Linked DNA regions of Diceros bicornis minor. Each later gene encodes a partner of the first gene's protein in a complex. Links are inferred from orthologs where the notes say so. Each region holds a gene or a part of one and is shown on either strand. Other genes may lie near its edges. The genes, in order: MED23, MED7, MED24 and MED13L.

Region 1 (7,345 bases):
TTCCTGCTGAAGGCTGGGTCATTTTTGTGGAAAGCTAGGACAGTGATTGTTACTCATTCAAGCATATCTCCAACCAGTCCTTAACTTAAACGCTCTTTTCTCCTTCTAGTGAAAATTGTAGTTTGGTTTCACATTTTCTGTTGAGGAAATTATATAACATTTTACAGAAATTCCAAGCTAAAGATTTAGGAGACTAATTTAATGAAATGGACTGACTATTTGTTATGGCACACCGAATTAACAGAACCATCTCTTTCTTGTCACTGAGGATTGGTTGGGAAGAATCCACCTTTCCTATTCAAACGTTTGAAGGGAACTGCTAGCTTTATTTTTATTTCTTGCAAATGGGATTTCTTTATTCTTATCCTTATCTTATCTTTAGTAAATTTTTTTATTTTGAAATAATTACAAACTATTAGAAAAGTTGGAGGTACCAACACAAAGAACAATTCCTTTCCTGAACGATTTTAGAGGACGTTGCTGACCTGGTCTCCCATCTTCTCCAAGCACTTCAGTGTGTACATATCCTCTAACTAAGGGCATTTTCCTACATAACCATAAAAATCAGACAACTAACATTGATACATTTCTACCGTCTAATCCTCAGATCCCCTTCAGGTTTTGTCTGTTGTCCTTTAGAGTGAAAGGATTCCATGCAAAATTATGTTTTGCATTCAGTTGTCATAGAACAATTCCTTCATCCTGGAAGTTTTTCAGTTATTCCTTGACCTTCTTGACTTCGACACTTTTGAATATCACAGAACAGTTCGACACTTTTGAATATCACAGAACAGTTTTGTAGAATGTCCCTCAATGTGGTTTTGTCTTCTATCTCCCTATGATTAGATTTAGGTTATAAAACATTGGCAGGAGAATAACTGTAGTGATGCCATGTCCTTCTCACACATTCTAGCAGATGCATGATTTCAATTTGTCCCATCCCTTATGATGTACACTTTGATCTCTTGATTAAAGTGGTGGTTTCCGGGGGGCTGGTCCAGTGGCCTAGTGGTTAAGTTCACGTGCTCCACTTCGGCAGCCCAGGCTTCACGGGTTCGGATCCCAGGTGCGGACCTATGCACCACTCATCAAAGCCATGCTGTGGCCAGCATCCCACATATTAAATAGAGGACGGGCACAGATGATAGCTCAGGGCCAGTCTTCCTTAGCAAAAAGGTAAAGATTGGCAACAGATGTTAGCGCAGGGCTAATCTTCCTTACCAAAAAAAAAAGTGGTGCCTTCTGGCTTCTCCACTGTGAAGTTACTCTTACAATAATACTCATTATTATGAATAAGTATTGTATGTGAAATTACATTGAAAATATATAAATACACCATTTCTCACCAAAATTTTAATTTATTCATCTATTCATTTACATCTTTGTGGACCCGTGGTTTCCTATTTTACTCAATGAGTTATAATCCATTATTATCATTATTCACTTTGATGCTCATATTGTTCCTTATTTGGCCAGTGGGAACGCATTCAAGCTCCAAAAAATCATTCTTTAAAAGCTTTCTTGCTTTCTGGTAAAACAAGATGCTTCATGCTTCTCTTGTACATTACCTGGCCCGGCTCTGTGATCAAGCATTACTCCAAATGACCTGGCTCCTTTAAGTAGAGACTAGCAGTTAGATCTGAGCTCCAGGTGTGATCACTGGAGTGTAGCTGCTCCCACACTCTCTTCATCACCAGAACTAGGGAATATATGTATGAGTGTGTGTGGCACATGTGTTTATGTATGTGTGTGTGCACATTACACCTATCATCTCTACTTATTTCTAAAACTATCTGTCTATTGAAATCCATGCGTTCATGTCAAAATTCCTGATTCCAACCGAGCACCACAAGGTTCATTCTACTTTCCCATTTACGTATCTCCCTTCTCTCACAGGGTGAAATCTGACTCTCATTGAACTTACTATTTTTGCTGATTTGATAAACTTCCCCGTACGAAGCCAGCCTCCCAACCTTGCCACCACCCCCTCCCATGCTTGGATGCCCACCTCATCCCACTCAGGCACCTACAGTCTCTATCGGGCTGTCCTCCCATAGAAGGCCTCTTCACTCTTGCCACCATCCCAGGGGGCCTGGAGGACAGAGCATCGAGCCAAAGAGGATGATTGAATCATCCTGCCAGGTTTCAGACTTGGTTGGAACCTGTGACCCCTTTAATCTTCCCAATTTCTCCCTTTTGGAATGAGAATGTCTGTCATAGGCCTGTCCTATCATTGTACTTTGGTAGCAGATAACTTATCTGGTGTTAGCAGTTCACAGCTGGAGAGGAACTTTGCCTCAGAATGACTCATATCTCAAGTCTCATCTATACCTAATTTAGAAGATATTTAGATAAGATTTGGGACTTAGAGTTCATGCTGGAATGGGTTAAGATTTGGGGCTTTTGTGATGGGGTAAATATATTTTGCATGGTAGAAGGACACGAATTTTGGGGGCCAGAGGGGGGAGTTTTGGGGCCAAATTTTATGCCCCCAAAATCCATATGTTGAAGATGTAACTATATTTGAGGATAGGGTCTTTAAAGAGTTAATTAAGTTAAAATCAGATCCTTATGGTAGGCCCTAATCCTATATGACTGGTATCCTTATAAGAAGAAGAAATTAGCCATGGACATGCACACAGGGAAGACCACGTGAAGACACAGGGAGAAGATGAGCATCTGCAAGCCAAGGAGAAAGGTCTCAAAAGAAACCAACCAATTGATATATCTATCAATTATAAATATATATAGTTGATATATTTATCAAAATAAATAATGACAATAATGGATTATGACTCCTTGACTAAAACAGGAAACCTTGATCTCAGACTTCTAACTTCCAGAACTATGAGAAAATAAGTATCTGTTGTTTAAGCCACCAGACTGGGTACTTTGTTATGGCAGCCCTAGCAAATTAATACCCTACACCTAACCCATGAAGCTATTCTCTAGCAGGAAATTTGAATTCTTACATCTCAGTTTTTAGAAGCTATTATGTGGTAACAGTGGCATACAGTGGTTGCATGTGGATATGTTAGGGAACTGAGTTTCTGCCAGGTCAAAGACTCATCTATCAAAGCCGTGACTGGGACTCTGTGCTTCCAAATCAGCGTGTTCTCACACGCCAGCTCATCTTAACGTTGGCCAGAGCTCATATAATAAAAAGGTAAAATGGTCGGGAAAGAATTGTATTTTTGCCATAACCAAAAACAAATTGATTTTTATATCATGCTTACAGATGCTCCATTCATTGAATATAAACTGACCATCCATTTCTAGACCATTCTCCACCACCATTGCATGGAAATCTGCCAGAGAGCAAATGAACACTGTCTTAGAGGTGTATCTGAATAAAGATGATCCACAATAAGGTCATCTATTCAGCATACAAAACAGAGGGGACTTGGATTTTAATAATTCTGGCTCTGTGATCCTTCTAGCTTGGATATGCTGCAAAATCAATAACTGCAATACTGTTCATTAAATCCCTAACACCCGTGTCTAGCACTGAGCAAACGGTGGGTAAATCTTCCATAAAGGAAGAACTCTACTATTCATGCACAAAGGTGTTATACGAGGATAAAGAAGAGACACCTAACTCAGCTGGAAGGAGGGCAAACGTCCAGGAACATGTCAAAGTGATGCTAGAAAGAATAAAGAGGTCGAGGACACACTGCTCAGAGCACTGAGGCATCTGCTCTGACCACACCAGTGGACCAGACTTCTTCTTTGCCACCTTTCTCCACCAAAGAGGCTACAGGTATTCAGGAATTGATACATATTACTATTTTTAGATGATTATAACTGAAAACGGTAGGTATTATTTTTCGATTATTCTAATCAAAAATCAATCGTGATGCGTTCATTCACTTTTTTCAACGTTCGTGGAAAGCCTGCAAGACACTGAGGTTACCATGGCTGAGAAGGCCTGGTCCTTGCCATCAGGAAGAGTCTGGTCTCACCTCCCGCTCCAGCCCGCTGGCGGAGCTCCAGGAGGTCAGCGGTCCGCAGACTTCCGGTTGACCCGGGTTGCACCAGCAGCATTTCCCCAAGGCTGCAAATATGCAAAAGCAGTAGTCCCGAGCACGAAGCAACTCCCGCTCCGGCCCGCAGGTGGCAGCCTGCCCCCGACGATGCCCCGGGGAGCTTTAGGCTCGAGGCTCCACGTGGGGGCGCTCTGGTCGGGCTCCCGGGCCTCCTTTCCCCACGGTCGGAACCCTCTGGCTGGGTCACTAGTTTCCGCGGGTTCCGTCATCGGCGCGCACCAGGCGCTTCCGGGCTTCCACGCAGGCTGCCGTAGTTTGCCCCGCCCGGGAAGGGACGCTCGGCCGAGCGCCTGAGGAGCGCGGGGACCAGGGCGAGTGTCCGCCCCTCGGCCCCTGTTCCCGGTCAGGCCGCGCGCTGGCGTCCGAGGACGGCGGGGACGATGGTCCAGATGGAGACGCAGCTGCAGAGCATTTTTGAGGAGGTGGTGGTGAGTGGACGGCCGGGGGCCAGGGCGATGGCGGGGCCGTGGATGGGGGTGGACGGAGGGGACGGGCACCCTCTCCCCCCTCCCCTTTGCCCTGACACCGTGTGTGCGTGTGCAGGGGGTAGCGGTTCTCACCCGGCTGTCAAATTCAGGGTCCTCTCTCAAACCCACAGCGCCCTGGGTGGCAGGCCGGGCGGGTATCGTCGGTGTCTGCGTGTGGATGATGGAGGAGACCTGCCCCCTGTGATGTTGTCATGTTTTGCTCGGGGAGGCCTCTCCCTTTTTTCTTTCTTTTTTTTTTTTTAGTTCACATTGTCTACTTTTGTTTTTTCACAGAAAACGGAAATTATAGAAGAGGCTTTCCCTGGGTGAGTATAGGCATGGCAGATGTTTGTGTTTTTACGGGAGCCTATGTTTGTAAGATTTTACTTGGGCTTATTTTGGAGATTTATAAGATCCACTATTCTGGTTATGTTGAATTACCTTTTTTAAAAATAGTGGCAAATAATGTGATTTTTGCTTTTTAGCATGTTTATGGACACCCCTGAGGATGAAAAAACAAAACTACTTAGCTGTTTGGGGGCCTTCAGACAGTTTTGGGGTGGTCTTTCTCAGGTGAGCACTGCGTTTTTAATACATTCAGCTGATGATTTTTGACTCCTTTTTTTACATTTGCTTTGATGCTGCTGTTAAGATAGTTCTGGAGAGGGAGAAATAAAATTGTCATCATCTTTTATTTTGTCTATTCTGGTTTCCATTTATTTCCATTTGTATTGTTCCAGTGGAGAACCTGTATTGACAAGTGAAGTTGATGACAAAACAGTATAAGATGTTTTTAAAAATCTTCCCTCTGTTAGATTATATAAAATCATTTCCATCCTATTCCAATTTATTTGGTGCACTTGAAAACAGCTGTGTTAGGGATTGTAAAAGGATAAAAATTTCATTCAATTACTCAACAAAGGAACTGGCACAACATTGCTGCAAAGATACTATAACAAAGATACCATGGGGAAGACACAAAGATGCCACAATAAGGATACAAAGATTCTATAATAAGGATACATTATTACATCTTTATTATAATAAGACATTATAATATAATTATAATTTTAAGACATTATAGTAGAAATGAGGAAAGAGCAGCAAAACTTAGTAGCAAAGAACAGTCACCAGAAAATGTATCCATAAAAAAGACAAAATGTGTGATGTTTAAAGAGCTCATGTTTTGGGTCCGGCCCCCTGGCTTAGTGGTTAAGTGCTTGCGCTCCGCTAGTGGCCGCCGGGATTCGGATCCCGGGTGCGCACTGATGTACCACTTGTCCGGCCATGCTGAGGCGGCGTCCCACATACAGCAACTAGGAGGATGTACGACTGTGACATACAGCTATCTTCTGGGGCTTTGGAGAGAAAAAGGGAAAAAAAGGAGGAGGATTGGCAATAGATGTTAGCTCAGGGCTGGTCTTCCTCACAAAAAAAACAAATAAATAAAGAGCTCATGTTCTGGTAGTGCATTATCTTCTCAGGGTGCATTATAGGAAGGAAAATGAGGACCATTTGCAGCAGAGCCACTGGCATGGATCACAGACATGGGTCACGTAGTGGCAATATGTTCATTTTTTTTTATTTGTTTTAATTATTTTCTAATAGGTAATATGTTCATATGGTTCAAAATGGAAAAGGTACCGAAAGGGGGACCCAGTGAATAGTCTGCCTTCCATTTCCCGTAGCTTAATCACCTGGTATTTTTTTCCTGTCTGCAGCCAGGATCCCCAGTTTGTTTTTTTTAAAGTATTTTATGCATACAGAATCATTTTTATAGAATGTTCCAATACTGTGTACACTGTTCATTAGCACCTTGCTTTTTTCCTCTTAATGTTAAATTCTGAAAGTAATTCTACATCAATCCATTAAGAGTTACTTCTGCCTTCCTTCCTCTCTTGCTTTCTTATGGCAGGATAATATTCTATTATATGGCTGCACCTTCCTTTGTTTAACCAGACCTCTACTGAGTGACATTAGTTTGCTTCTTACCTTTTCCTCTTTAAACAATACTACAATAATATTATACACAGGACATAATAAATTCATGGAAGTAGTATTGCTGGGTCAGAGGGTATGTCTATTTGTAATTTTTATAGAAATTGCCTAATAGCTTTTCATAAGGGTCATACTAATTTGTACTCCCCAAGCAATGTGTAAGATTGTCTATTCTCTATAGTCTCACAGTAGAGTGTTAATGAACTTTTGGATCATGTTTCTAAAATGTGAGAAATTTTATCTTAGTATGGTTTTATGTTTTCATTTCTCTGAGTGATGTTGAACATTTTTCCAACATATTTTAATTTTTTAATAATTCATTAAACATTTTATGGGTTAAGGTATGGCCCTTGTCTTCCAGAAGTTTATATTCCCATAGATGAGCCAGGAGGAAGATAGACATTTGTAAATCAGCATTATACATTCAACAATAAAAGTGTGTGTGAAGGACAGTAGAAGTGCAGAGGAGCAGGACATACAGGATATCCTTGAGGGTACCCTGGAAGACAGACTTAGACGTGGTCACTACAGATTGGTATCAGATTTTAGTTATGCAAGTCTAGAAATTTGATGTGTCATTGGGTCCATAATTGGGCTCTTAGGGATTAGATTCGCACTAAATTGTCATGAGGCTAAGGTACTAACTCATAATGAATTCTTTCCCCCAGTGACAGGAATATTTATGTCTACCGTTAAGGGCACTGCTTACAATGCCTTACACAATCGTTATTAAAGTTTTCTTTTGACCATGAATATGTTAATAAAATATTACTCTTTTGGGGGGTTCCATGTAATAAAAATGATGGGTGTTTAATCAATATAATTGTAAGATTT
Region 2 (7,856 bases), on another chromosome or scaffold:
CACGCAGAGATACAATGTAATTGACTAATAAGAGTTCAGAGATTATTATTTATGAACCTGTCTACCAGTGACAGAGGTAATAAGACCAACAAATCAAAATCAGGGTAAGTGGTGCTGGGACAATTGGACTCCTACATGCAAAACAAACAAAAAAATCCCCAAGTAATCTCAACTCATCTCACACCACATATAAAAATTAATGCAAAAAGGATGTTAGACTTCAATGTAAAACTTAAAATTATAAAGCTTCTAGAAGAGAACACAGGGGAAAAATCTTTGTGATCTTGGGTTAAGCAAAGAATTCTTGGATAGGAAACAAAAAGTATGAACCATAAAAGAAAACAATTGATAAATAGGACTTCATCCAAACTAAAAACCTCTGCTCTTTGAAAGACACTGTTAAGAAAATGAAAAGATTAGCCACAGATTGGGAGAAAATATTTACAAAACACATATCTGATAAGGGACTTATATCCAGTGTGGTGTGTGTGTACGTGCTCTTACAACTCAATAGTAAGAAAACAAATAAGCCAATCAAAAAATGGGCAAAAAATTTGAAGGGACAGTTCACCAAAGAAAAGATACATATGGCAAATAAGTACACAAAAGATACTCAACACTAGGGAAATGTAAATTAAAACCACTACATAGCTATTAGAATTGCAAAAAGTAAAAATAAAAAGGAAAATACCAATTGCAATTGCAACTCTCATAGTTCACTGGTAGAAATGAAAAATGATACAGCCTCTTTAGAAAACTGCTTGACATTTTCTTATATAGTTAAACATATAACTATTAGAACGCCCAGAAATTCCATTTCTACGTAGTTACTCAAAAGAAATGAAAACATATGTCCATACAAAGACATATATGAATATTTATAGGACTGAAAATAACCCAAATGTCCATCAACTGGTGAATGAATAAATGAATTACGGTACATCTGTATAATGGCATACTCCTCACCTATAAAAAAGGAACAAACTATTGATACATGCAACAACACTGATGGACCTCAGAAGTTTTATGCTAAGTGAAAGAAGCCAGAGACAAAAGTCTATATACTGCATTATTCCATTTATATGACATTCTGGAAAAGGCAAAACCATATGAACAGAAATCAGATCAGTGGTTACTGGGGCTGGGGGCGACGGACAGTGATTGAGTACAAGAGGGGAACAAAAGAAATTGCTTGGGGTTATGGAAATATTCTATATCCTAATTCTGGTGGTAGTGGTTATATGACAGTATATATTCATCAAAACTCATCGAACTCTACACCTAAAGTTAATTTTACTGGATGTAAATTACACCTCAATAAACCTAACCTTAAAAAACCAACAGAGTGGAGAAAATGTGTGAGTATTTCTGCTTGCCACTTAGGATCAAACGATAAATAATGATGATGTTTATAATGTGCCAAGCTCCTAAAACAGGCAAGATGCCAGTTACCATACACCCCTGCCAGTTTCTGCTCCTCACCTCCACCCACTCTCCCTTTGCTCATTCGTTAGAGAGCACACAGACTCCCTTCCTGTCTCAGGCTCTTTGCACTTGCCGTCTCCCAGATGTCTGCACAGTTGACTTCTTCTCATCACTTATGTTTTAGCTCCAAAGTCACCTTCTGGGAGAGGCTACCCTGATCATCTTCTATAAAGTAGCTACCCCCCAACTCACATAGCTACCACATTATTTTGTATTATTTTTTCCCCTATAGCCCTTATCATTATCTGAAATTCTTATTTGTTGGCACGTTGTTGTCTGTGTCTCTCCATTAGAAGGCAAAGCTTCTGTCTGTCTTTTTTACCTTCTAGAACAGTGCTTGCCACAGTAGATGCACAATAAAGATTTGTTGAATGGCTGTATTCCTTGTTAAGCTACAGAAAGCATCTTTAAGGAATAAACTTTCCATTCAGATTCTGGAAAATGCCACCTAAACAAATGTTTATTGTATGCCATATTCTCACTAGCCCCTCTCATGATATACATTTCATATCATTATTCATGTGTAGTTTACTGTAAAGAACACTAGACTGAGAGTCAAATGTTCTAATTCTAGCCTTGATCCTGCCACTAACGGTAAGACCCCGCACCTTTGGGTCAAGTAATTCCATTTCTAGAAATTTACCTCAAGGAAAAAAATTGGACACATGCACAAACATATGCACTAGGATGCTCATCCAGAGTATTAACAATAGCAAAAATTGGGAAGAAGATAATTTTACACAATGGGGCTTTGGCTAAATAGATTGTGGTCTATCCATCAATGTCATACTGTGAATTCATTTGAAAATGATGATTATATTCATTTTGTTACTTATTCAATAACTATTCCTTGAGTACTTGCCAATTTCAGGCACTGTTCTAGGTGCTGAGAATGCAGCAGCAAATGAAACAAAGGCCCCACACTCACAAACCTTGTATTTTGATGAGGAAGAAAGACAATAAAAATAAATAAATAAATCTACTACATAATATGATATCAGATGATGATAAGTTCAATGAAAGAAGGATAATGCATAGTAAGGGGACTGGGGGCATCCCCCAAGAGAATGGTTGGGGGCATGCTATTTTATAGTGACCAGGGAAGACTTCTCTGAGAAAGTCACATTTGACCAGAGACCTGAATAAAGTGAGGAAGTGAGGCATATGAATATCTGTGGAAAGAGAGTTCCAGGCAAATGCAGTGGCTCTGAGGTAGGAGTATGGTTGGAAAGCCTACAGCTGGAGAAGAGTGAGCACGGGAAAAAATCATAGGAAATGTTATTGGAGAAGTAGCCAAGGACTCGATTTTGTAGGGCCTTATATACGCCATGGTGAGACATTAGATTTTATCGTAAATGTGACAGAAAACCTTGGAGAATTTTGAATAAAGGAGTGGTCAGATCTGTCTTATATTTTAAGAGTGTGATAAACAGGCGAAGTGAGGACAGAAGAGAAGCAAAGAAACCAGCTAGGAGGCTATTTCAGAGGTCCAGGGGAGATAATGGTGGCATGGACTAGGACCATAGCAGCAGAGATGGTGAAAATTAGTCATATTTGGGACTTTTACTTATTTCTAAATAGAACTGATACAAAAGGCTGGGATAGTATATTTGAAGGAGCATGGAAGAAAGAATGGTAAAAGATGAATCTTTAGACTTGAGCCTTTGCAATTGAGTGAAGTGCACTTGCATGAGTAAAGATGTACAATACTGTTGGATAAAGGGTCTGAGTGCAAAGCAGAGGGTGTTGCCAGGGCCTGGAATCACCTGGATATTATCACCTGGATGATATCCCACTAATAAGTGAGAACTGCGTCGTGGGGCAATTCAAATAATCAAATGTGCCAAAAGCTGCTGAGCATGCAGTAAAAAGTGGACTAAGAATGACCTCTGGAGGTCACAGCTGTAGGTCACAGTGGTCTCAGCGGCGAGGAGAAAAGCCTGATTGGAGTATGCTCAAAAGTAAATAGATTTCTCCAACAAATAAATTGATGTAGGGGGAAAATTGAGATGAGTGAAGGAACCTATAGATTAAAAGGTAATTAAAAGACACATCAGTCAGTCACAAATGAGTGTACTTCATTTGGATCCTGAGACAATTGGTATCCAAATACTGACTTGATTTTGATGGTATTAAATTGTTGGCACCACTCACGTAAACAGTAATCTTTACTATACATATTAAAGATTTTGGTCTTATTATCTTCAAATTAAACCAGGGTATAAGGTGTTGCTCCAGTCTCTGATGCATATCCAGTAAAACAAAAGATTTCCAGGAACTAAGACCGAATCCCTCCAACCATGCGGAGACCAACCGCCTATAAACTGGCCTGTAGTCTTGGTTCTGTTGGTTCTTTTTAGTCAGCTATCTTCCCCCTCGCTAGCAAGCTATAATAAAACTCTTTCTCTCCTACCACCTTTCCTCTCTACTACTGTCATGCCTTGCGTTGAGCAGACGACCCCCCTTGGGCAGTAACATAATTATTAATTTATTTTTAAATGAGACAATAGTTCTGTGGTTATGTGAAAAAAAGAAAGTCCTTATCTTTTAGAGATGCATGCTGAAATGAAATAATGTCTATACGTAGATAATTGTTCAAGTTGGGTGATGAGTACACTGTTCTCTCTACTTTTGTAAATATTTGGAACTCTCCATAATAAGTTTTTAAAAAACTAAGTCAAAGAATTTTATTTTAAAGAGGTTAGGTTGAGAACTTTTATCAAAATAACAACCTTATTTTCTGTGTGCAACATGCTCTTGTAAGATTCCCACGAATTTAGAAATTTGTGACACTTATGAAAGTAACGTCCAAAGGAAACCTTTAAGTTTGATTTTGTTTTTAAATTTGTTAATTTATTGCCTGGAAATATAATAGACATGGCTGAATTCCTAAGTGAAAATAAAAGTGAATGGACGGTGAGGAAATGGAAATTGAGACTATTACTGATCTCCAATCATGTTCACAAATATTTCCAGACTGAAAAAATATATAAACAGCATATAGAGTCCATCTCATTTCTTTAAATGTTATTTTTGACAGTGGGGTTAGAGTCGATATAATTTTTTAAAATATCCGCTTACCTGTATTTTCTAACTTTTATGTAAGGCATATGGCTGCCTTGTTTCATTTCAAGCGTTAAAAAAAGAAAGAACGGAGATATCACCTGCTCCTTTTACTGATAGAAACCCTCCCCAGCTGCAAACCCAACCACCGACCCCACCGCAGAATTGCTGGGGTGGGCCGTAGGAAAGAGATACGCGCAGGCGCAATAGCGAGCCATGGGTCTGAGGCGGGACTAGAGCTTCGGTTAAAGGAAAGCTCTTTCAGCCAATCAAGGGGCAGTGTCGGTGGCTTCTTCCTGGAGGAGGAGACCGGAAGTCGGATCTCGGCTGCGGTGGCGAAAGCGGCTGCTAGACTATACCCAGCACTGAGGTGAGTGGGCGGCGACGGGTTGGGGCTCTGTTTTGCGTGCGTTTCTTCTTCCGGACCCCGCGGCTTCCTCAGGGCGGGCTGGGAGTGGGGGGAGTGCTCGCTTTCTTTCTTCTCTTTGTCTGTCGGAGAGCGCGGCTTTCCCGCCGCTCGAGGAGCCCCGGGTGGACAGCCTGGCGGAAGGTGCCTTCAGGGCGGCGGGCTCCGGCTTCCTCCCTGTGGGGAGGCCGGGCCAGACTGGAGGGTGGGAGACCTGGGTTCTAGTCCTGCGCCGCTGGTTTGCTAGGCTGTGTGGCCTTGGCGAGTCATTCGGCCTCTCCGGCGTTTGTAAAATGAGAATAACCCTCCTTGCCCTTCTTCTCCAGGGAGCGATCGTGAAATCCGCTGAATTAATGGGGGGCGGGAGAGGAGGTAGATCTCAAGCCTAACGTCAGATTCATCTGCAGAGGTTTAAAAACTACATTCCAGAGGCCTCATTCACAGTAGACAAAATGAATCAAATGTCTGGGGATGGGACCCCAGGATACCTTTCTTTTTTGGTTAAACCCCCCAGAATGGAACAAACACTAGAAGGTGGATCTTGAGTCTGATAACCGGCTTTGATGGTTTTACTGAACACCTCCATCGCCTTTGAAAAATTCAATCAAAACAAGTGATAGAAAAATAAACATAATTTCTGTAGTATGTCAGGTTCCTTTTGTGCAGTTAAGAGGCTTCATAGTCTGCTGGTTTAAGGGAGCTTGTACTGTGCAGCTCAAAGGACCAAGGATAAAAATTCCCGCTGTGCCACTTACTGGCGTTTTGATCCCTGGTGCAAGCACTTCCCCTCATTGAGACTTGGCATCCTCATCTTTAAAATGAAATTGATGATACCACTTAACTCATAGACTTGTTATGAAGAGTAAGTAAGAGAGGATATAAAACAATGGTACCTGTCACGTAGTTGACCTTTGGAAAATGGCAACTTAATTAGAGGAATGCACGTGGTGCTGGGAAGCACAAAACGACTCCCAACCTAAAAAGGCTTGAGTGGGGTGAAACCTGGGCTGTCTAAAATTTGTTTTGAAGTACCAGGTCAATGCTAATTCTCTGATTTTGGTAATTATGTGCTTATAAGAGAACATTGTTTTGGGGATACGCACTGAAGTATTTGAGGGTAAAGAGATGAGAGACCAGTAAGGCAAATGAGGGGAAAATGTTAATATTTGGAGAATCTGGGTGAAGAATATGGAAGTTTCTTTGTACTGTTGATACAACTTTTCTGTAAGTCTGAATTTATGTTAAAAAGTTTTAAAAAGTTGATTATGACTGTTTGCAACTATCATAAGTGTGTTGTAAGTAAATGAAACAGTACACAGTGTTTATAACCTCCCACCCCACCCCATGTACTTGCACCCCTTTTACCTTAATGGCTGTGTTGTATTATGTAGATGTATTTTGTCCAGCCCTCATATTGATGAAATCATGAGTTATTTCTAACGTTTCCTGCTCTTTTTTCAAACAGGGCTGCATTAAACATCCTTATACACATTTTTGTGTACTTGTACCAATGTTTCTATAGGATAAATTTTTCGGGATAGAATTATTGGTTCAAAGAATATCAGCATTTAAAATTTTGATACTGCCAAATTAAATTCCAAATATATATTTGTTTCCTTTCCTCTCAGTTGTATATGAGACTTCCTCAGATTCTCTTAGGTGGTACTGATCTACCACCTAAGAGTATTGTGTGGTGGTGGTGATGGTGGCTTCTGTGAGAGCTGAAGGGAATGGATGCTCTCCACCAGAGGCGACTTCCCTGCAGGGCCAGAATAGCTAAGAGCCTGCTTCTGAGATTGAGATGACCACTCTGAAGAAACTGAGAGGAAGGAGAATGTGACCTCTGCGGGAATCTGGGGCTTGCCACATGGAAGGTGTTCTAGTATTTGTTGAATGATGGAATATTTGAAGTCTTGATAGTCTGATAAATGAAAAGTATTCTTTTTTTTTTTTTTTTTTTGTGAGGAAGATCAGCCCTGAGCTAACATCCATGCCAATCCTCCTCTTTTTGCTGAGGAAGACTGGTCCTGGGGTAACATCTCTGCCAATCTTCCTCCACTTTATATGGGATGCTGCCACAGCATGGGTTGACAAGCAGTGCCTCGGTGCATGTCCAGGATTGGAACCCAGGCCACCAGCAGTGGAGCACGTGCACTTAACCGCTACGCCACGGGGCCGGCCCAAAAGTATTCTTTTTAAAATTTGCTTTTAAAAGTGTATTAGTCTGGGGGCCGGCCCGGTGGCGTAGTGGTTAAGTTCACACACTCCTCTTCTGCAGCCCAGGGTTCACAGATTTGGATCCCGGGTGCGGACCTATGCACTGCTTATCAAGCTATGGTGTGGCGGCATCCTACATATAAAGTAGAGGAAGATGGGCATGGATGTTAGCCCAGGGCCAATCTTCCTCAGCAAAAAGAGGAGGTGGCAACAGATGTTAGTTAGCTCAGGATTAATCTTCCTCACCAATAAAGAAAAAGGTATTAGTCTGAATATTTTCTAGCTTTTATTCAGCATTTGTATTTTCCTCGTCATCTTTTGTCTATTTTTTTAATGTAGATTTTTTTTTAAAAAAACTCATTCAGTGGACCTTTATTGAGGATCTAGCACCTTCTAGGCATTGTTTGAGGTGCTGGATTAGAGTTGGGAACAAGATAGGCACTTCCTGGAGTCATAGTCCTTTTCTTCTAGTGGAGGTGGAGTCAGGCAATGCATTTTTAAAAAATCAAAATAAAATTTTTAGTATTTGCCCTTTGTTAGCTTGCAAGCATTTTTCTCCCAGGAAAATGGATTATCTTTTAATTCTGCTTATGATATTTTCCTGTATGGAACTTTTAAATTTATTTTTGGTAGTTAGATCTGTTGGTCTTTTGTAGTAGCCTTGTAGTTAGTTATTTCTTGTCTG
Region 3 (7,381 bases), on another chromosome or scaffold:
GGATCGCAGCCCCTCTTTTCTTCTTTTTTAAAGATTTTATTTATTTATTTTCCCCCCCAAAGCCCCAGTAGATAGTTGTGTGTCATAGCTGCACATCCTTCTAGTTGCTGTATGTGGGACGTGGCCTCAGCATGGCCGGAGAAGCGGTGCGTCAGTGCGCGCCTGGGATCCGAACCCAGGCTGCCAGCAGCGGAACGCGCGCACTTAACCGCTAAGCCACGGGGCCAGCCCCCTCACTTCTTCTTTGCGCTGGGAATGTGGAGAGGGAAGGCATCCTTCAGGGTGTTAGAGAAGAAATACTCCAAGGACTGGTTCAAATTCTTTTTTTCACCATCCTGGCTGGTCTCTTTCTGGAGCTCTTCTGTGGGGGCAGTGGGAAGATAGAGACAGGGAACTTGGGGGGTCCAGGAGCTGTCCCTGAGGTGGGGCCACCATGTAGGTCTCTCCCCCATTCTCCTCTCCCCCAGATAGAGAGAAAGCAGGGATTGATGTGGGGACCGATGGGAGAAGGGAGCTGATTTGGAACCAGCTGTGTATGAGTGTGTGGGAACGACTCTTTCTTTCCCCATCCACCTGCTGCCAATTAACTCCCCATCCCATAGTGGGGAGACCCAGGCAAGCTTCCAAAGGAAAATGTTCCAGTTAGGGGAGGGGAATGACTCAGTTTCCCTGTGGAGAGAAGGGAAGCTGAAACCTTCTGTGCCTTGTATGCTTACCAAGTATTTCAGTGTTTCTGGGTATAGACTCTTGCCACTTTTCCTTATACAGTTGACCCTTGTTGTCCGCAGGTTTAGTACCCGCGGTTGGTTGAATCCAAGGATGGGAAACCCGAGGATAGAGAGCGCTGACTGTATTCATTGTACTACACCTTTTTTTTTTTTTGGTGAGGAAGATTAGCCCTGAGCTAACATCAGTGCCCATCTTCCTTTATTTTATGTGGGACACCTGCCACAGCATGGCTTGACGAGTGGTGCATAGGTCTGCACCCAGGATCTGGGCCTGCGAACCCCGGGCCGCTGAAATGGAGCACGTGAACTTAACCACTACGCCACCAGGCCAGCCCAATGTACTACACCATTTTATAGTGTAAGTGTAGTATCCATGGATTTTGGTATATGCGAGAGTTCCTGGAACCAATCTGCCATGGATACTTCTTTCTAGCCTAGATAATGAATGTCCCTGTCCCCTTGAGTACAAAAAACCCTGTTCCTCCCAGCCTCTTACCCCAACCCAAGTCCCCACTCTGGCCTAGCTCCTCTGCTGCTACTGCTCCAGTGTTGCCATGTCACTCTGGCTGGCTGGTTTCCACCTGTGCTTCTTCTCTAGCCAGACCCCTTCCCCAGCCAGATCAGCCAACAAGATGAAGAGGGTAGGGCTCAGGGTTAAGAGAGCAGAGGTGGGAGCTCAGCCGCTATCAGTGCTGAGGGAGAAGAAATGGACAGCAAAAGAAAGTGGAGTAAGTAAGAGGGGTTTTTGAGAGGGGCTGTATGGGCGGAGAGTTCCTTGTATAGCCAAAAGGGATGTCAGCATCTCTTCACTCACACAGTGGAGGATCATCATAGAGTCCCGTCTTTGTGGTCAGCAAGCCAGAGAGCTTGCGGGTCCTAGGAAGCTATTGTGTTGTGCAGGGAAGAGGTGGTGTACGGGAAAGGCTGTCTCTGATATTTGCAGACTAGATAGTCAGGACAAAGTAGAGAAATTGAAAATGGCCCTTGCCCAGAACTAAGAGAGTCCTTGTACTCCCTTAGGAGTCCAGTCCTTGGGGAAACCCTGCCAAGCCTAGAGAAAGGACTACTGGTGAGAGGTGGGGGGACAGGGAAGGCAGATGGCCTGACTACAAAAGCCACTTCCCTGTCACTGTAAAGTGGGGAAGAGGCATCCTCCCCCCCAGAGATCTACCACCCTTCCTGTCAGAGGGGGATGGTTTGAGCTCAGAATATCACTATCCTCAGGGCCCAAGTATTCCCCACTCTCATGTGGACTGGACCCAACACCTACTAACTCGGTTAGGAACAGTCACAAAGTTGACAGCCTCTCTCCAAGAGGGGCAGTCTGGGCTATGAGGGATGGGAAAGGAGCTGTAGGATCCAGGAATGACTCAAGGTAGGGGACCCTTGGCTTCAGGAGCAGGAAAAGAATGAGAGGAAGAGAGCCGGCAAGGTAGAGTGAGGGGCCTGGGAGAAGAAGGGAGCCCAGATTTGTGAGAGACTGCAGAGAAACAGGGTTGGTGGCGTCTCAAGTGTGTCTGTGTGGCTGGGGGAGTTTGGAGGTTAAATATGAGGAGTATGGGTTCTCCCTCCTTCCTGCTTTGGAAGCTTTGGCTACACATATTTGGCAGCTGTTTTATATAAACACTATTCACCACTGGTGTCACTTGGGCAGGCACAAAAGGGAGCAGAATGGAGGGGGGTATGGGTGGGTGTATGGGGAGGGAAAAAGGCCATAGGCAGTAATGACCTTAGAGGGATGTGACTTGGCCCTCCTCCAGCTGCAGTCTCCCCTTCAGAACAGGAGTCCTTTTCTCCCTGTTTAGGCTATGCTCCAGATACTCAGGATCCTGTTATTCTCTGCCCTAAGGGCCACAAGTTTGTTTCTAGAGCCTGAGTAGGCTGCTCTCCCGGATTCATCCTTCTGAGGACTGATTTTACCACTGAAAGGGTGGCCAAAGAATGGTCGTTGGGGAATATGGATGGATCTTGGACTCATGGGGGTATGGGATGGGAAGGCTCAAAATAGGGGTGGCAGGACATTGGGCGGATGACTCCATGATTATTCTTGTCCGTAGTTGTAAATGTTAGGGACGACTTGTCCACAGGACAGGGCAGGGATGAAGGCTGTGTATAGGGAGGCTCAGATGTTGGAGCCAGGGCCGGCCCTGTCCCTTAGCGGTTAAGTTCGCATGCTCCGCTGCTGGCGGCCCGGGCCTGGATCCCGGGCGCACACCGATGCGCCACTTCTCTGGCCATGCTGAGGCCGAGTCCCATGTACAGCAACTAGAAGGATGTGAAACTATGACATACAGCTATCTACTGGGGCTTTGGGGGGAAAAATAAATAAATAAAGTTAAAAAAAAAAAAAAGATGTTGGCGCCAGATGTGGGTAGCATTTGCTTTTGGGCTTCCCACTGTGGGGTGGGAAGTGGGGGAACAAGAGCTAATGCCTTAAACCCTGGACATAATTATCTACAATATGGTTCCAAAGGATAAGTGAGACATCACATTGTTTTTTTTTTTTAATTTTATTTATTTATTTATTCCCTCAAAGCCCCAGTAGACAGTTGTATGTCATAGCTGCACATCTTTCTAGTTGCAGTATGTGGGACACGGCCTCAGCACTGCCGGAGAAGCTGTGCGTCGGTGCGCGCCCGGATCCGAACCCGGGCCGCCAGCAGCGGAGCGCGCACACTTAACTGCTAAGCCACGGGGCCAGCCCAAGACATCACATTGTTTTTAAGAAACATTATTTTTAGGAATAGTTTTTGATTTACAGGAAAAAATTTGAAGATAGTAGAGGATCCCTACATACCCCACACCTAATTTCCCCTTTTTTAAACATCTTACATTAGTACGATACATTTGTTACAATTAATGAAACAATATTGATACATTATTATTAACTAATGTCCATGCTTTATTTATATTTCTTAGTTTTCACCTAATGTTCTTTTTCTGTTCCAGGATCCCATCCAGTGAACCGAGTTACATTTAGTCATCATGTCTCCTTAGGCCCTCTTGGCTATGACGGTTTTTCAGACTTTCCTTATTTTTGATAACCTTAACCTCAGTTTCCTCCTTACTTTCCTCCTTGCTTCTCCCTGTATTCAAGCAGTTGCAGGGCCAGGAGATTCTGGGAGGACTGCCAAATTTGGGGGTGAAGTAGTTATGTGTGTGCAACTGACCAAGCCTCAGTGTCGCTTCTGGAATACAGGTGTGGCAATGAGAACAACTCTGATAGGCGCAGGGGTTTAGGAGAGCAAGAAAAGGCCAGGAAAAAGAAAACGTATTGCTGAATCAACGCCACACACTAGCTGTGCCTACTAAGTAGCGGGTAACGAAAGGGTGTCGGAATATAATTTAAAGGCCGGGTCGACAGTGACGTCATTGGGCCACGTCTGATCGCGAACCGCTTTTCGAGAGCCCTCCCCGCTCAGCGGTCTGAGTCTCCGTGATGCTTCAGCCTCTCCCTGTCCTTCCCTAAAGGAGAGAAACAATGCGCGGTTACTAGCTTAGTCCCTTAGCTTCCTGGCTAGCCCAGTCCAGGAAACTACAATTCCCAGAAGGCATCGTGGCGTGACCGGTCTCTTGCTACATTCCTATTGGTTCATGTTTATTATTCCCAGCCAATAGAAAATTAGCCCTTTGATAAGTGCCAAAATGGCGATACCTAGGATCTAGGGCTTGATTGTCCGGTAGGCTTACATTTGGGCAAGTGGTGGATGAAAAAGAAATATGGAGTTGTAGTTTTAGGGTTAGGGAAGGTGGAGGAAATGGGGGTGGGGGGAGGGAATGTGCGTTCGAGGTGGTGCTGGCTGAGGGACGCAGCCGGAGCTAAGGGCGTAATTAGGAAACTGGATTTGGCTTAACCCCTTGTTGCCCTATTTACTCTTTGTATTAAGCCCGTTTGACACCCTCTTCTTAGTGCTTCAGTTTAAGGAAGGATGGTTCAGGAGGGAAGAACTTGACAGGATCCCTACCTTGCCCCCTTCCCCTTTTTTCCTTTCTAGTTCCTCTGCCTCCCTTAAATCTTCTTGTATCTTCTCCGTTGCATTTAACTCTGCCCTCCCCTGTTCTTTTCCTCAGAATCTCCTCTTCTCTTCTCCAGCTGGATTTCTCCCACCTCAAAGGTGACCGCCACCGGCCCCGCCTCCTCAGAGTGAAATCATGAAGGTGGTGAACCTGAAGCAAGCCATTTTGCAAGCCTGGAAGGAGCGATGGAGTGACTACCAGTGGGCAATCAACATGAAGAAATTCTTTCCCAAGGGAGCCACCTGGGACATTCTCAACTTAGCAGGTTCTCAAGTGAAATAGGAAGGAAGGATGGGAGGGCTAAACTCAGAAAAGTTGTAACCACTCAGTCTTGCTTTGTTATTCCGCTTGCAGAAGCACTACTGGAGCAGGCTATGATTGGACCTTCCCCCAATCCTCTCATCCTGTCCTACCTGAAGTATGCCATTAGTTCCCAGGTAAACTGCCCCACCTATTCCAGAGAGTGAGGGTTTGAAGGTAAAAGACTCGGAGTACAATTGTCAGCTCATACTTTTTAGGTGAATTTGTTTGAATACATCACTTCTCTGAGCCCTAGTTTTCTCGTAAAAATAATAATGCTTCATTGGGGGCTGGCCCAGTGGCGTAGTGGTTAAGTTCCTGGCTCTGCTTTTGTGGCCCAGGGTTCTCAGGTTCGGATCCTGGGCGTGCACCTTCACACCACTTATCAAGCCATACTGTGGCAGGTGTCCCACATATAAAATACAGGAAGATGGACACACATGTTAGCTGAGGGCCAATCTCCCTCAGCAAAAAGAGGAAGATAGGCAACGGATGTTAGCTCAGGGCTAATCTTCCTCACACACACACAAAATAAAAGATAACGCTTCGTTGGTTATGATGAATATTACATTAACTTATTCTCTCAAGAAGTATTCCTGAATTCTTGTATGTGCTAGACAGTGCCGCAGACTCCGGGGATATAGCTGTGAACAAGACCTGATCCCAGCGCAGAAGGAATTTGGTGGGTGATACAGATATATAAATAAGCAGTCGGTCGCAGGATGGGTTTATGATCTAGGTTAGGGCAGTAGTATGGGAGTATATGGGAGGGGTACGTGATCCAGTCTGAGGAATCAGGGAAGGCTTTCTAGAGGAAATGATGTTTAAACCAAGACCTGAATGGTAAGTAGGAGTTAGCTAGGCGCGTTGATGAGGCTGTACAAAGCAGGGAGGAGAGCATGTGAAGAGGCTGGGAGGCAAAAGTTGCATGATGATGAAAATAATTGAGTATGGCTGGAGCAGCAGTTTTGGTCTGAGGACCCTTTTATACTCTTAAAAATTGTTGATCCACTGGGCAAAACTGAAAAGGTCCCCGGTGACAATCCAACAAAGAAACAAAGAAAAGACTCCAAGAAAAAAATTATTGAGACTGCTTTGTTTATATGTTTTTCATCTATCCATATTTACCAGTGTAGGAATGAAAACAGAAATTTAAAAATATTTATGAATTTATTTAAAAGTAACAAAAAATAAAGCCATTACGTGTTAATATAAATAACATTTTAATGAAAACTGTATTTTCCAAAACAAAAAAATTAGTGAGGAAAGTGGCATTGTTTTATGTTTTTACAAATCTCTTTAATGTCTGGTTTAATAAAAGACAGCTGAATTCTCAAATCTTTTTTTTTTGTGTGTGTGAGGAAGATCAGCCCTGAGCTAACATCCATGCCAGTCCTCCTCTTTTTTTTTTTGCTGAGGAAGATTGGCCCTGGGCTAACATCCGTGCCCATCTTCCTCCACTTTATACGGGATGCCGCCACAGCATGGCCTGACAAGTGGTGCATCAGTGCCTGCCCGGGATCCGAACCTGCGAACCCCCCGGGCCGCCAGCAGTGGAGCGTGCGCACTTAACCACTACTCCGTGGGGCTGGCCCCTGAATTCTCAAATCTTGTGCATTCAATTGTTGCAATAGGCTATTTTGGTTGAAGTGTATGAAGAAAATCTGCCCTCACACATCAAATATTTAGTTTGGAAAGGGAGCAGTACTTTAATAAACTTTTCAGATAATTGCATATTCTTCTTTGATACACTAAAATTCAACAGGTGATGTGAAACCACATGAATCAACTTTTTATACTCCATTACATTAAAATCCATTAGTCTCTCTCTTGCACTTTGAATATATCTTTTACCCATGCATGATTTTATCATATCATGAATTGGTCATTTGGAAAATATCCGTTACTGAGTTACACAGATATTCCAGTTGACACGTTTAATTATATGATATCATCACATATCATAGAGCCTCTGGGACACTCCTTGTACAGTTGTGAGAGAATGAGAGTGAAAAAGGCAAATAACATCTTAGTCGTATTTATTTTTTGACCTCACAGACCCCAGGGGTTCCTGGACCATATTTTGAGAACTGCTGGGCTAGCACTTCAAGGAGGACACTGGTTTAGAGTGAGATAGAGATTAGGTCATAAAGGACCCGTGAGTGATGCTAAGGAGTTTGGACTTTATCCTAGGGTGACAAGTAATCATTTAAAGGATTTTAAGTGGAAGAATAGTATGATAGGAGATATATATATATTTAACATGCAATAAAATGCACAGATCTTAAGATTAATTCAGTGAGTTTTAGCAATTGTATATACCATGTCACTGATAT
Region 4 (7,351 bases), on another chromosome or scaffold:
TGATGCCATGCAGCAGACAATCAGAAAGCAAAGTAAGTAAAAGACTAACAAAAATCTTAAGGCAGCTGATTGCACAATCAACTTTTGCTAAACTAGAACGAACACCTAAAGGTAATAGAAAGTGGGTGGGTCATTAATGTGGTACAGAACTTTCATCTCTAGTTTATATTTCAATCTACATTAACATGAGTATCTAGGTAAATTCTATATAAACAATACTTTTCTCTGCTCAAAAATACTGCAGGCCAAAAAAGCACATATATGCTATTATTAAGCACACAGAGTTCTTATAATACATGCTTTATTTTAAACAGGTGATGATTTTATCTCCTTTGGAATTAACTATACTATACAATGTACTTTAAGCAACATATTTTTAATGTTCTTGCTGCTATATCTAATTTTCCAAAAAAATCTCAAATTTGAATGAGAAAAATTTACAATATCAGCACCTTTTTAACTGATTTGTAATTTTAAAAAAATAGCACCTTATCCACCCTCTGCATACAAGAGAATGTAGACTTTCTCTAGTCCTTTAAAAAAAAAAAAAATCAAAGCATGCATTTCTGCAGTTCTGCATTTCAAAGTTGCTACCTAAAGAGTAATTCTGTTTAAAAAAAAAAAAAAAAGTATATTCAAAAATCAATTCCTGGTTTAAAGAGGTTTAAGAGAAAATACCCAAAGCATTAATCTTTAGTTGGTCATAAAGCACAGAATCCTCTCCCACAAAATTGTTTCTCCAAAAGAATCTCAAGCATCTTATCTCTATAACATTATCACCCTTACTTAAGCTTAAAAAAAAAATAAAAGATAAAAGAAATGATGTATCTTAAAGACTGGCTACACATATAATATACTTTCATTTGTCTACAAAATCTACTGTATATAAATTAGCCACACATACCCAAGCCATTACCAGTCAGCATGATATATGGTAATTTGGGGGATCTCTCCTCACTAATATTGGTCTACTTGGTTATTTTAATTACCTGTTAAAGTGTCAATGTGGTCACCAGCCACCAAACAAAAACCATTTAAAATATCCCTTAATCAATATGTTTGCTAATCTACGAAGTCCCTGAACCTGATACTAAATGACAGAATGAGGGGGAGAAAAGAGGATGCAAAATGAGTTTTATTCCCACATACCAAAAGATCAAGGGAAAATAATCACAGTCCTGAGAGGAAGAAGAGCAACTTGTAACTGAATTTTAAAATTAAATATCTGAATAAAAATGTTGGAAGAAAAATAAAATTGACCTGATCTTACCACAGCAAAAACATGGATACTATGTCACTCGGGTCACTGTAGGTAAAAATCGCATGTTTTGATTTTTTTTATCTGCATAATGAAACATATTGAATAAAATAACACTTTTATTTGAAAAGTTGGCAAGAATTTGTATGTCTCCACTAGTCTCAAAGAAAAAAAGCCTCTATGCTACCCATAATTAAATGTAACTAATTACAATTTGAACACTAAATTATTTATCCAGTGTAAACAAGGATTAAGAGGAAATAATGCTCCCATCTGCAGCAGAGGTTACAGAAAACAATTTCCAAAATGCATGCGCTCCAAAAGTCAGTTCCCCCAAAAAAGGTACACAACTTAAAATAAGTTGGTTTTTTTAAGGCTAAATTAAACAAACCGTTCAGCCAATTTTCCAATTATATTCTACGCTTGAAACATAATTGCCTTACATCTGTTTACAAATCTTTGCTCAATATTTAAACAAATTCGTAGTCTCCCGGGCACATAGCTATACATACAGTAACTCCTGCACAAAGCACATATTTAAAGACCACGTACTGCAATTATTAGCCTAAACGCCAGGTTTAACAACATGAATGTTTTCAGAGCTAGGTAATACGACCCAATAAAAAGCAGAGATGGCATTTACCACCAAATGTCACTGCGACCGCCAGGAAAGAGTTGCTGGAGCCCTATACATTTTTAATTTCCATGAATCTAGACGCCGTCGTCGGGTGCCAGGCTTCCAGGAGAACAATTGACACCCTAACTGCTTCAAGATTAAGGCAGGCGATTCAAATCCCAAGGAAAAGTTGTCAATTACCAGCGAGAGCGCGCGAGAGAGGCGAAGGCAGATAAAAGCGATGTTATCCAGCCGCCCAGCTTGTTGCTTTTTTGTGTGTGTGGATTCGTTGTTAGGATAGAGAAAACAGTTTTTAAAAGACACAGGAGGAGAGAGAGAGAAGAAAAAGCTTTCTCCACCTTCCGTCGGCTCGGTGCAATGGCTTTCCGGCTCTCCAGCGTAGTAAGCCCCGAGAGGCGGGCGGCTGTCGGTGTTTACAATCGCGGGAGCTCCGGGTGCCAGAGTCCTTTACTGACACCATCGCATTCGATCAACTGTTTTCGGGCGAAATTGCAGGTGTCATTATGGAATTTTAAAAAAATTCAAAAGCCGGGCGGGCGAGCGGGCAGTCGACCCGACAAGGGGGGAAAAGGCTGCCGATCGCAGGCACGGGCAGCACAAGGCAAAGCCTTCCACATTTAGGGGAAAAAAGGGGGGAAGAGGGGAGAGGAAGGGGGTGTGATGGCAACAGAGGGTGGGCGTTCGAAGTGCGACCCAGAATCCGCAGCTCTGAGACTTCCACATGCAAATTCCACGCCGAGCGCCGCGCTCACAAATGATTTTTAAAGAGCCAAATAAACACTGGAGGGGAGCCAAGGCGAGGAGCGACGATCCAAAAGGGGGAGACGCGGCGAGAGGCGAGCGGCGGGGAGAGGCGAGGGAGGGGCACGTCCCGGCGGCGGGAGGAGAAAGTTGGTCGGCGGCGGAGGTCGGGGACCCCCCCCCGGCCCGGCCCCCTCCCCGCCGCCCGGCTACTCACCAGCGAGAAGAGGTTGGAGTGACAATCCTCCAGGCTCGCCCCGTTCGCCACCCAGTTCGCTGCCGCAGTCATGATCCTCCGCGAGCCCGGCCGCCAGAGCGGGGCATGTCGGAGCGAGGCGTCCGAGGCGAGGCCGGGCCGGGCGGCGGCGCCTCGCCGGGGAGCGCGGGCGGCCGGGCCGCCGCCGCCGCCGCCGCCGCCGCCGCCGCCGCCGCCGCCGCCGCCGGGGGAGGGCGCGAGGGCCGGCGGGCGGGCGGGAGGCGCCGCGGCGACGCCGCGCCGGGGGCGGCGGGCCCGGGCCGGCGGGGGGGTCCGCGGCGGCCGCGCGGCTCCTTCCTGCTCGGGCGGCGGCGGCGGCGGCGGCTGCCGCGGCTCCGGCGGCGGCGGGGGGCGCTGTCCGCGCGGCCCGGCGCCCTCCCCGCCTCTCAGGGCCGCCGCTGCCTCCCGGGCTGGCGCTGCGGGCCGGCCGCCGCCTCCGCCTTCCCTGTTCCTCCGCCGCCGCCGCCGCCGCCGCCTTGTTTATCTCCAGCCACCGACTCCCCCTCTGCCCCCGCCGGCGCGTGAGGGGAGGCGAGCCCCGGAGCCACCGCCGCCGCCTCGGAGCCGCCGCCGCCGCGGAGCGCGAACTCGCGAAGGGGGGGGTGCGGACGAAGCCAGCGGGCGACCCCGGCAGCCGAGCGACGTCCCCTCCTTCCTCTTCCTCCCCCACCCCCCCCTCCTCCCCAGTCAGCCTCGCTTCTCCTCCCTCCCCGGGCTCGCTCGCTCTGACAGCAATGGCGGCCGCCGACCGCGGCTCGGCCCGCCATTGGCTGGCGCCGCGTCACGTGACGGGCGCCGGCCGCGCGGGGGGGCGGAGGGCGGGCGGGGGAGGGGCCGGGAGCGGCTGCGGCGGCGGCGGCTCGCGGGCGGCGCTGCTGAGCCGAGCGCGGCCGGCTTCTCGGGCCGGGAGAGGGAGGGAGGCGGAGAGGCAGAGAAAGAAGTGCGGGCGGCGGCCGGCCGGCCGGCCGGGGCTGCCGTGCGCTGTCCCGCGTGGGCGCCGCGCCCCGCCCCCTCGGGTGCACGGATCCCGACGAGGCGCGACCGCGAGCCCCGGGAACGCCCGTGGCGGCCACGGCCGAGGGCTCGGGCCCCCCGCGAGTGCCCCCGACCGCCCAGGCCAGCTGGCGTGGCGGGGGCTCGCAGTGGGCCGGGCAGCAGGTCCAGGGGCTCCCGGGAGTGTCGCGTCGAGGTCGCACTCCGCCGTCGGCGTTCTGCGGCTGAGAAAACTGAAGCACAAAGAGATTAAGTCACTTGCCCGAGGTCGCACAGCTGGGAACTGGAGGGGGCGGGATTCGAACCCCCGTACCCAGGCACAGTCAAGCCAAGCTCTTGCGCTAGGTTTTATAAGACTCGTCCAGGGATATTCGGGGCTGCCACTTAGTGAGCGCTTACTGTGTACCAGGCACTATGCGCTGAATACAGGAAAGCCTTTTGAGGCCTTACTCCTAGGCACTGTGTGCAGACATTCATTCACTCATTGCGTCAGTGTTTCCTTACCTCTTGCCACGTGCCGGAATATGTTATAACTGCCAGGCGCTGTGCTAGGGCTGTGTTGGGAGCAGACCCTCCCTCTTGGCTACATTCATTCAATGACCAACATTTTCTGAGAGCATATGGCCTGGGAGTCCAGAGGTGTGCCAGTAAGAGGAGGCTGTCTCCCAGCCCTCAAGGCTTTGCTTCCGGCAAAGGTGGGAAGGAGAGAACAACTTCTTCGCCAACAAGCCACCAACTTGGAAGAGTCAGCTGTTTCAGGTGGATTGGACTAAAAGAGAGGAAGAGTAGAAACAGGGGAAAGATGGAGTGTAATAAAAGGAGAGAAGTCTTAGACGTGTGAATTGAGCTTTAGAACTTACACAAATAACTGCTAAAGTGAAACCCATGAGCAGCGTGTTACATATATTATTATCAAGGCTGACACTAGGTTATAACCCGCTGACACTATGTTATAATGAATGTATATACAAAGTGCTTTATCAACATGCATGGTGTTACTTGGGCCTGAGCAATCAGTCGGTGGGATGGTCCATTATATCCCAAGGGGCCTTCATCCTACACACCTGGTCACCAAATTCTCATTCTTCAGTAAGTTTAGGTTTAACTTGTTAGTAAGTCTCCCAGAGCAACCCAATAGAAAAATGAGCTAAGGATATGGACAGTTTAGAGAATAGGAAAGACATGGCTTTTAAGTATATAAAAAGATGCTCAACCTCACTCGTTGCTATGGACTGAATGTTTGTGTCCGCCTCAAATTCATACGTGGAACCCCTAATCCCTAGTGTGATGGTATTCAGAGATGGAGCCTTTGGCAGACGGTTAGGTCACAAGGGTGGAGCCCTCATGATGAGATTAGTGCCCTTGTAAGACAAGACTTGAGAGAGAATGCTTTCTCTTCCTCACTCCCCTCCCCTCCCCTCCTCTCCCCTCTCTCTGTCTCTCTCTCTCTCTGTGTCTCTGTCTTTCTGCTGTACAAAGTCATGACCACAAAGAGGGCTCTTACCAGGAACTAAACGGGCACCTTGATGTTGGACTTCCCAGCCTCCAGAATTGTGAGAAATAAATTTCTGTCATTTAAGCCACCCAGTCCCTGGTAATTTGTTATGGCAGCCCAAGCAGACTAAGACATTCATTATAAGAAAAACAAACTAAAACCATAATAAGTATTGGCAATATTTTAAAAGCTTAGGCAAATATGGAGGGAAGCAGAACTCTGATATACTGTCAGTGGGAATATAAATTAGCACCACAGCTTTCGGTGTCAATTTGGAGACATCGAAATTTATAATGCATGTACCCTTTGACCCAGCAATTCTAGTTCTAGAATTTTATCCTACAGAGATACTTGTGCAGATGTATAAAGACCTGTAGCACAAGGACATGAATTATAGTACTATTTGCTGGGCAAAAACTGGAAACAACCTACATGTCCATCATTTGGGGAGTAGTTAACAACGTAATTTAATTCCGTGTAGCCATTAAAAATAATGAGTTATCACTATGTGTCTCATATAAAATAATCTCAAAAATAGCTTATTAATTGAGTATCTCTGGAAGGTTACCCGAGACTCTAGTAATATCAGTTGCCTCTAGGGATGGGAGTCAGGGTGGGAAGAGGGTGAGGAGAGTACTTTTCACTGTACTGTTTGCGTTTTCTTTCTTTCTTTTTTCTGAATATGTATATTACCTGCTCAATGCAGTGTTATAAACAACACAAATCAATAAATAAATAAAATTGAAAACAGAATAATCAAATGGCACCATAAAAGGAAATTAAAAAGCAAATAAACAACACAAGACAAAAGAAAAAACCTCATCTGAGGGGATTACCTTGGCTGTCAAAGCCAAGGCCCCAGAGTGGAAGGGAAAAGGCCAAAAGTGCAGTGTGCAATTGCCCTGGCAACATGAGGACAGAAGGAGAACCCAGGGGAACTGGGTTCTAGTCTCAGATGTGCCACTGAGCAGCCCTGTTAGCTCAGACAAGCCCCTCAACCTCTCCGGGCCTCAGTTTCCTCATGTGTGAACAGGGCAGCCGGGGTGATCCTTCAAGTCATTTCTAGCAAGAAGACTTGGTTGATTCTGCACAGTTGAGAGGACTGATAAAGATCTGCAGAGTTCTTACTCAATAGAGAAAGCAATGGGAGTTGATGGAAAGCCTCAGGAGATAAGATGAAAAGAAAAGAAAACAAAAACCATCAACTGACTACTAGGAAGCAGCAAGGTACCAGGCACTGGGACTTCTGAGTACAGTTCCGTATGTGGGGACCTCATCAGAAGCATCCTCCTGACTTAGTTTCTCCATTTGTGAGAATGCCTGCTGCCCCGGCAGGAAATAGACGTTCCACTCTGCACAAGTCTCAGGTCTTATTCTGAGAATGACAGGTTAGTTCCCTTTCATGGTTACCAAATGTAATGGCAGAGAGAAAATGGAAGCAAAAATATGACCAGAGGAGGAACCACCTATTCGAGAGACCACAGGAAACCACCACAGCTGCAGGGTGGGAGCATTTTGCAGGAGTTAAGACTGTTGCTTCAGAGTAAGACACACCTGGGTTCCAATCCCTGCTCTGTCGTGCACAGAGCTGTAGAGCTGTGCAGCCTTGAGCAGGTCATTTAAGCCCTGTGACCCCCATTTCTTCCTGTGCATTGACCTCCCAGGGTGATAACACAGAGAAAGTTCTTAGCACAGTGCCCGGCCCCATAGACGGTGATCAAAAAATTATAACAATCACAGTCACTAGTCCATCCTCGTACAGTGGAAAGTGGCACCCAGTCACATCACTTGCAGCTTTTTTCCCTTTAACCTAAGCTTTATTGGATTTATTTTATTATAAATAACAAAATGTTAGCTAGAGCAAATCAAATGATATAGGAGCATACCAAGAAAAGGGAGTCCTGTTCTCTCTCCCCCACTAGGATAACCAAAGTCAACGAATTGTTGTGAATCTTTACTGTTCCTCCTCTG

What was found.
Region 2: MED23 (region 1) and MED7 share a complex: the UniProt entries of both Homo sapiens proteins name them as parts of the mediator complex. The link is inferred for Diceros bicornis minor from reciprocal best matches to the Homo sapiens genes MED23 and MED7.
Region 3: the proteins of MED23 (region 1) and MED24 are in contact, whole or in part, in a cryo-EM structure (PDB 7EMF), measured with the Homo sapiens proteins. The link is inferred for Diceros bicornis minor from reciprocal best matches to the Homo sapiens genes MED23 and MED24. Residues at the interface, in NP_004821.2 of Homo sapiens: Asn150, Thr151, Val152, Ser153, Ser154, Glu193, Gly194, Leu196, Pro197, Trp199, Leu201, Gly202, Asn203, Ser206, Asp207, Asp210, Arg213, Tyr258, Asp259, Lys260, Phe263, Ser1133, Arg1139, Ser1176, Glu1180, Glu1182, Trp1183, Val1184, Tyr1186, Arg1189; in NP_055630.2 of Homo sapiens: Lys238, Thr239, Leu280, Leu283, Lys287, Val291, Glu295, Cys336, Glu339, Phe340, Lys343, Leu344, Thr345, Pro346, Leu347, Asp349, Lys350, Gln353, Lys384, Glu720, Lys721, Trp723, Thr756, Arg757, Lys758, Glu759, His760, Met802, Asp803, Pro804.
Region 4: MED23 (region 1) and MED13L share a complex: the UniProt entries of both Homo sapiens proteins name them as parts of the mediator complex. The link is inferred for Diceros bicornis minor from reciprocal best matches to the Homo sapiens genes MED23 and MED13L.

Annotation. Positions count from the first base shown.
Region 1 is NC_080762.1:6,424,808-6,432,152, forward strand, and holds the start of MED23 (mediator of RNA polymerase II transcription subunit 23), read left to right. Parts: upstream 1-4,333; 5' UTR 4,334-4,426; coding exon 4,427-4,474; intron 4,475-4,807; coding exon 4,808-4,839; intron 4,840-4,998; coding exon 4,999-5,086; intron 5,087-7,345. UniProt on the Homo sapiens protein: Required for transcriptional activation subsequent to the assembly of the pre-initiation complex. Component of the Mediator complex, a coactivator involved in the regulated transcription of nearly all RNA polymerase II-dependent genes.
Region 2 is NC_080740.1:73,135,426-73,143,281, reverse strand, and holds the start of MED7 (mediator of RNA polymerase II transcription subunit 7), read left to right. Parts: upstream 1-4,837; 5' UTR 4,838-4,918; intron 4,919-4,981; exon of another isoform or gene 4,982-5,098; intron 5,099-7,856. UniProt on the Homo sapiens protein: Component of the Mediator complex, a coactivator involved in the regulated transcription of nearly all RNA polymerase II-dependent genes.
Region 3 is NC_080757.1:39,631,979-39,639,359, reverse strand, and holds the start of MED24 (mediator of RNA polymerase II transcription subunit 24), read left to right. Parts: upstream 1-4,367; 5' UTR 4,368-4,408; intron 4,409-4,612; exon of another isoform or gene 4,613-4,799; 5' UTR 4,800-4,880; coding exon 4,881-5,010; intron 5,011-5,099; coding exon 5,100-5,182; intron 5,183-7,381. UniProt on the Homo sapiens protein: Component of the Mediator complex, a coactivator involved in the regulated transcription of nearly all RNA polymerase II-dependent genes.
Region 4 is NC_080774.1:13,709,128-13,716,478, forward strand, and holds the start of MED13L (mediator of RNA polymerase II transcription subunit 13-like), read right to left. Parts: upstream 3,007-7,351; 5' UTR 2,926-3,006; coding exon 2,854-2,925; intron 1-2,853. UniProt on the Homo sapiens protein: Component of the Mediator complex, a coactivator involved in the regulated transcription of nearly all RNA polymerase II-dependent genes.